Xenopus tropicalis: one gene and its partner. The protein of the gene in region 2 interacts with the protein of the main gene of each other region in a pairwise test. Links are inferred from orthologs where the notes say so. Each region holds a gene or a part of one and is shown on either strand. Other genes may lie near its edges.

Region 1 (4,217 bases), on a different chromosome or scaffold from region 2:
CATTGTCTTTTTGAGAGAAGAGACCCAGTGGCTCTGAGTCTAAGCTGCCGAACTAGCCCTGCAATTAGGTAACCATTGTCATACACCCAACTCCCAGCCCCAATTATAGCATTTAACTGCCCACATTAGAGCAGAAGTCGCAGCCTGCAACACCCTTGTTTCGTACGATATTCGGTACGTGTATGGCAAGTTGGCGAGTCGCAGGCTGCTGATAAAAAGATTTTGATCGGGCGCCATAGAAGGCGCCTGAGCAAAATCTGCCGTCAGGGCTGAATCGGCAGAAGGAGGTAGATATCCTTTTGTTTGTACCTCCTTATCTGCCATTTCAGCCCTGAAGGTTAGTGGCGGATCTGAGGATCTTTCGTGCGACCATCGCAGATCGCCACTTTGTGTGGCCACTTTTAGAGTCAGGAGTGTAATGAACTGACTAAACTGAGTGAATATTTGTATCGGCGTTGAACTGTAAGACGGGAAGCAATGCAAAAGCTGAATATCAATGCCTGCCCAGATATTAGGGGGGATAAAAAAAATAGCTGAAGGGTAGTATGTTGAATAAGCCTTATTTATGCTTTCATTAAAAAAGCAAGGAGCTTCCCAGTGAGCTCGGCTCTTGTATATATATATATATATATATAGTGAGCGGAACTGCTACCTGGAAGGTTTCTTTATTACAATAATTATGATAATGGAAGCATAAATAAGGATTCTTCAACCTAGTACCCTCCAGTTACTATCAGGTGTAGTACAACAACAGCCCTTAAGTAGCAAGTTCTTCAGCCCTAAACCAAACCCTGCAAGCTTAATTACTACTACACCAATCTCTAAATGATCAAATCTCACCTTATTTGTGAAGTACGAAGACAAATAAAAGCAGCAGAAGGTGAGACCCACCGCTGGTCCCCTAAAATACATCTGTCACCGCATACCCTCCGGAGCTGCCGCCACTTGAACATGAACTTGGCTTGGCTGAGAACTACACTACAGCACTCAACTGGGAGCAGCCATGACACAGACACGTCGCTCACTCGCTTCTCCAATAGCAACACACTGTCACTTTCCGCGCCCCGCCCCTTTACGGAGGATTGACAGGTTAGCAGTGCCACGCTGCTTGCGCAACAATCATTGTCATTTATTTATGTAGGCCCTTCTGGTTGTTAAGTGAGGTAAGGAATATACGTATGACAGCATCAGTAATACATGTTATCTCTTCTAATACATCAGATACTTCATGCCTTTAGCTCAACCTAAGTCACCACCTATTCAGTGTTTCGCAGCCAATCAGAAAGCCGCATATCTCCTCCCGCCCATTGATTACAGTTCGACGCGCAGTTCCGCCCAGTTACTGGGTGAAGTCATATCCCCCAAGATGCATTGCTTCAGCCTAGATCCGCAGCGGCCATCGAGTAGAGAGCAGGTTCTCAGGAGCTGGTGCTGATTCTTCTTAACTGTCACTCGCAGCCTAACCTTCCGCTTTTCATTATAAAATATAGGTAGCTGTATTATTAATATCAAGACTAGTGTAGCTCTGCGAGAATTAACTTTCTTTTTCAGTGTCAGCCGCACTGAGACAAGTCCGGGCACGTTCCGAGGCGACACAGACCTCATATAGTCATAGTGACAGTCTGCTCCGAGCTCCTCCTCCTCTACTTACTGAGCCCGACATTCTCTCCCCCGGCACCCATACTAGGCTGAATGAGAAGATGGATCAAGGTGGAATCATCGCACCCGAAACCCGGCCGGTAAGTTGTACAGGCTCTTTCTATACCCCCTCGCCCACTGCTGTAAACGACTCATAGCAGGGTTGTTAGGGAATTCTGGGAGTTGTAGTTAGGTAACAGCTGTAGGGAAGTAGTTAATGTAGTCGTTCATGTGTCCTTTTACTAGTTTACTATACTAGCACTAAACCCTATGCCTTCTAGGGGGCGGGGTCAGATAAGGTTAATTAGGATATATATATGTGTGTGTGTGTGTATATATGTTTGTATGTGTGTATATATGTATATATATATATGTGTGTGTGTGTGTGTATATGTATATGTGTGTATATATATATATATATAATGTATACACACTCACCGCAGTAAGTAAAGTGATATGATATCCAGTGTTTCCATTTAAAGAAGTTTCAAGTTTATTGTCATATACAAATAACAATGAAGCATCATTACTGTAATGAAATTTTTTAACCGTGTTCTTCCCAACTTGACATAGACAAAAAAAAATACAAATATTAAATATAATAAAAGTGTGCAATAAAGGTACAAGTACAAGGAGGCTTGCACACATGGTTTTCATTTCCCATTTACTTAGCTGAGTTATGGGATATATATTTACTCATCATGGTGGTTGAAAGAAACCTGATTACCTAGTGCCAATACATGTTAGAGGCTTTTCTATGGAGACCTACAGACTGTTACTCTCTCACTATTAGTGAATTTCCTGGGGTCACATGGGTACAACAAAGTCCATAGACTTCCAGCCCATTATATTATTTACAGTAGGCTGTAAATGTACATACTCCACTGTCCAGTAAATAAGTATGACTAAGCACTTCTGTAACAAATGTAATTCTCTGTATATGTGGGTATTTTGTGTTTATTTGTATAGGGCTACTTATGTATGCAGCACTGTATGCATTGCAAGCGCCCAACAACCGCACTAACTGTTCAGTGTCCTGATAGGTCAGGTTTGTCAGCCGGTACTGGAGCCATTGCTTTATGGCCTGTGATTTACTTTGTCTTTGCACGAAAGTTTGAGCTGATGCTATAAATATACATTGGGAAATACTCTGTGAGTCAGCAGTGACACATTTAGATGACTGTATAATCTTCTGTTCTGTGATATCACCTAATTATATAGCTTAGAGATCGCACGTACATCGTTGTTGCCAATGGAAGGCCAGATTACATGTCACAGAGGGGAAACTTATTGACCAGAGTGACACTGCTACCCTTTATTCTCCCTAGTCTGGTGTCATGGGGGGCTATTCATTTCAATTTGGGTAGCTTTATTCATTCATGTGCAGCAAAATGTAAGGTATGTCAGTTTGTATCTGTGGCTTTTTCTCTGTTTAAAATCTGTGGTATTTTTATTTATTGGATTTATTGGTTTTAAAGGCGCAAATAAGAAAAGCCTAATTCATGTAGGAAAACAAAATGACGAAAATATGGATTTTTCTTAAAGAAGAAAGAAAGCCTAATTTATTGGTGTTCAAAATGTTAGGCACGCCTAGTGAATTAAGTTTCTCCCTAGTCCAGTGCACTCCCTTTTACTTCACTCTCCCAGTCATCCCTTGTGAACTCTAGAAAGTTCCCTGGGCTGGTTCATTTATAAAACTCTAATAGATTATTGTGTTTTACCTTTATTCCCTTCTCCTGAATTGAGGATAGTTTGTTCCAGTTGGGGATATTGAGCTCTGTTTAAACAAAATCCTCCCTTTCCTAAGATGAGGCCTTTGTCAGAAATTGAGATATGAAATAGCTTTTCATACAGTGGGCTCCTTGAGACGTAATTTGTTTACCTACTTATAGTTATAGACAAGCGACAGTTGCTCACAAAAACAAAAGAAAGTTTGAAAGTGGTTTAAATTCCTGTTTTTGCCTTGTTTAGTGTTAGACATAATGGAAAACTAAATTTTTCCTAGTTAAAAAAATATGAAAAAATATGTTCAGCACAAGCGCTGTATATTGAGCTTGTGGAAAAAGAGGGTCCATCTCCCCTTTAATAAACATATAAACAAATAATATAATTCCTTCATTAATATCCATCCCAAAAAAGATGAAGTGTGGAATAATGTAATATTGCCTATTAATTGTATTGTTAGAGCCCCTGGGGTGTTGCTGCAAAGCCTGCAGTTCAGTGCTCCCTGGCGGAGGTCATGAGTGAGGAGCTGGCAAGGGAACTCCAACTGGAAGAAGAGAGCCATGTTTTCCCAGAGGAGGTTCTGTAAGTAACACTGTAAATACAATCCAAATCATTACACTGTTTAGTATTCAGGTTGTCGGTATATTTGCAGCAAATGAAAGTTGTACATGAAAGATAAAACATATGAAGAATGATTTAAGTAGAAATATTGCACTTTAACCCTTTTAACATACTAAGAAAAATGTAAAGGGTTTTCAGTTATGAAGAAAGACTGGCCAAGCTAGAGTTGTTTACACAGGAGAAGCAGTGATTAAGGGGTGATATGCTAACTATGTTTCAATATATAAGGGGAT
Region 2 (3,651 bases):
CAAAAATGCTTCCGAAAAAATCGTATTAGTCATGATAATATCGTATTGTGATCCGAAAGTCACAAAATTTTCGTACCGAACTATTGTAAACAGCGGCAAATCCAATCCAATTTTTTCGCACTGAAAATACGAAAAAGTCGCACAAGCGCCGAAAAAGTCATGCAAGGTACGAAAAAGTCGCGGAAAATATGATTGGACCGATCGAGCGAACGGTCGGGGCGTTCGTAAATAAGTAAATTAGCCCCTAAGTGTGAGTGCTGTGAATGTGTTAAATCCCCCCAAAATGTATATGTGCGTGTAAGTATAAGTGTGTATTAGTGTAGTAAGTGTGTGTTTGCATGTGTATGTGACATTAACCTGGGGAGGCTAGAGAAGCAGGCTAGAGATTCACAGGAGGAACCCAGGAACAGGAGGAGCCATCTTTCCTGCAGATTCTATGAGTATTCGCACTGGGGGGGGTGGGTAGAAAGTGCAAGCAACAGCAGGCACATAGTAACCACGTGCTTGCTGTTGCCTAGGGGCCCCTGGGTGATCATGCCCCAGGGGCCATTTGTTCCCCACCTCTACTCGTTGCCTAGGGGCTGGGGAAGGAACGGAACAAGTGCTCCTCCGCTCCCAAACCCAGATAGTATGTTGTGTGGCACTTAAAGGGTTAAAGGAGAGGGAAAGTCTAAATCACTAGGGAGTAGGCAGTGATTGTAATAGCTTACCTGATACTAACCCTGTTAGCAGAAAACTGCACCAGACTGGGGTATTTCTGCACAATAATTTGTCCTTCTCTTCTTTTCACCGGAGCACGGGCATGCGCATTACAGTCAAAGAGTCTTACCTTTTCTTTCTAAGTTCGGCTTTCCCTTTACTGCGCATGTGCCTGCCACAACTGGAATGAAAAGAAGAGGGAACATTCCGAAGAAGATGGCGACAAGTTTTATCTGCAGAAATATCCTGGGCCAGTACATTTATTAGTGATTTAAATTTCCTTCTCCTTTAAATATAAAAGGAATGTACTTTAAATAGTTGTGTTTAGTAAAAAAAATCTGCAAAAACCCTGGTAGTCTTGCCCAACTGTTCCACTTCATGCACTCTCCTTTCCTAGGCTGTGCAGGGGGGGGGGGGGAATGGTGGCATTTACACTGTAGGATAGGAACCAATCAGCAGTTAGACTGACCTGAGAGGGAACTGAAGCCTGTCTTTGCTTGTGTGACTGCAGGGCTGTGCAGACCATACTATTGTGCTTCTGACAGGGACCACCCACCCCTTATTTGGGACAGGGACCGTAGCAGATCTATAGGGAGCTCCAATAAAGGGGCCATTTTTAAAGACAATATTAATTTGTTAGACCAAAGTGAAACCAGCACCATAAATTATACATTATTGCTACAAGATTGGAGGGGGTTTAAGTTATCCCATATATCTCCTTTGAGGCTGCACACCAGCAGGCCTGGCTATGTCACAGCATATAGTTGCTGAAAACCACAAGCACTGCCTACAGTGCGTTGTCACGTGTCAACCGTTACACTCTAGCATATGCATGTCTTTTATATATGTGTGCTGGCTGGTAAATACCCGGTGTGGTAAGGGGGGTTACACTTGTCACATATCTTAGGGCCAGGGGGATAGCAAGAAAATAAAAGTGGCACAGTCAATGGGCCCTGGGCAGATGCCCCTTTTGCCCTTTTAAAGCGTAAGTTTTATAATTATTGTTACTTTTTATTGCTTATCTGCCTATTCAGACTCTCTTCTAACCATTTTCCAATCTTTTTAACCACTTCTTGGTTGCTAGATTAATAGAGAACCGTGCAACCATATAACATTCGAAATTCTATACTGGGGAGCTGCGGAAAAAATAAATAATTAATACACAACAAGAAATTGAAAAACGAAGACGAATTACCAATCACCAGAATGATTCAAACCTGCATTTAAAAGAAATTATTTAATCTGGAACATCATGTTTTTTACTAGTAACTACTGATAAAGCTCAGTTGACTTAACAAATTATTAAAAAGCAGAACAATCACTGGGGAGTGGCAATTTGTTAAGCACCCCACACTGACTAAGACTTATCTGAGACCTCAGAAAGATGCTCCAGTTTGCTGAAAACTGCACTAGCCCGGGATACTACCAAAACAAATTTTTAAAAAAAATAAAGACCAATTGCAAATCCCTAGTGTGATTAAAACCTGCATGAAAAAGAAAGTGTTTTATCTGGAACATTCACAGTTAATGTAACCAAACATTACCCCCACTGATAATCACTTATTTGAGTCCCCAGGCAGGAGCCCCATGTTGCTGAAAATTGTACCAGCCCAGGATACTAGTGGAGCACTCCATAATAAGTGTACCCAAGGTTGGACTTACAGCAAGCTCCCCATACATACATGCACGCACACACACACATCATGTTGCATCTATTTTATAAGGCACAAGTTCAAGCCAGCAGGGGGTGGACCTGGGCCCACCGGGATAATGAATTAAAAATTTAATTTAACCTATTAGTGTACTATTTTTCCTGATCTGTTAGTTTTATAATATAATCCATATGAAATAGAGGACATCATACCTATAAGGTGATATTCTCCCCTGGCGTGGAAGAGCTTTCTGCACTTTCTCTTTATTTGTGCCAAGATTACGGAGGAGGCTGTGGTGATTAATAATGTATAAAAGTTCCTTTAACAGAAAAAAATTGTCCTCATTTATTAAATCTTCGGTCATGAGTTGCTGAAAAAGTTCCTGGCCAGACCGTACAGACAACAATTTATTTTTCCTGAGGACATCCCTGCAGAGAAATTTTAAAGCCTCTATATCTTCTCGTCCTAATCCATCATCAATACTTAGAAGCATAGAATTGAAATCCATCTTAGAAAGTGCAGAGGTGCAGGGTAAGTGTCAGCTCCACCTAACAAAAGAGATATAGAAATATAAAGATTCAGTTTTAGTAAATTTAGTAAATTAATATACAGTCAAACCCCCCATTTTTGTTTTCCTGGATCCTTCCAGGACATTTTTTTGAAGGCCCTTCATTTTATACTATATTTTAAAGTAAACATTTCTCAGATTTTAAGCCAGAGTTTCAGCATTATATGTCGCATTTTGGCCCATTTTCCTTAAACACCAGTTCAGTGGCAGAGATCAGGGTCCAGACCATGGGTTCTTCTTCCTCTACAGCCGCTCTAGTCCTGGAAATTATCAGCAGAGGGGCGCTCGCACCTGTGAGTCGGAGGGATGAGGGGGCAGCTAGGCAGCTGTGTTCCTGGCCTCTCCGAAGGTGGGGGGGCTGGTGCATTTTTGTTATGCTGTTGAACTTGCTTATAGCCTGTGAATATTATTTGGAGTTGGTGAGGAGTTCATGGGGTTAGCACACAAGACCTCACAGTGGCCCCTGACTACTGAAAAGTGCCTCATATGTTATATATGTTATTAGCATAATACAATACTTTTTTTTTTTAATAAACTACAACATTTTGCTCTTGTGAAATGTATAAGTAACTGTGTTTATGCATGCCTTACAACCATTATGTGCTGCTGTGCACTTTATCAGCCCTGCCCTCATCAGCCATCCACTACACCCCACCCCAGTCTCAGCAACATGCACAACGAAACCCAGCTCCCCTTCAGGCTGATGCCTCGCTCCAGAGGGCAAGGTTACAC

The links.
Region 1: the proteins of casp10 (region 2) and riok3 interact in binary tests that used the Homo sapiens proteins (3 or more experiments, as listed by UniProt). The link is inferred for Xenopus tropicalis from reciprocal best matches to the Homo sapiens genes CASP10 and RIOK3.

Annotation. Positions count from the first base shown.
Region 1 is NC_030682.2:109,055,192-109,059,408, forward strand, and holds the start of riok3 (serine/threonine-protein kinase RIO3), read left to right. Parts: upstream 1-1,406; 5' UTR 1,407-1,700; coding exon 1,701-1,739; intron 1,740-3,823; coding exon 3,824-3,945; intron 3,946-4,217.
Region 2 is NC_030685.2:53,954,971-53,958,621, forward strand, and holds part of casp10 (caspase-10), read right to left. Parts: intron 2,900-3,651; 5' UTR 2,860-2,899; coding exon 2,564-2,859; intron 881-2,563; coding exon 830-880; intron 1-829. UniProt on the Homo sapiens protein: Involved in the activation cascade of caspases responsible for apoptosis execution. Recruited to both Fas- and TNFR-1 receptors in a FADD dependent manner. May participate in the granzyme B apoptotic pathways.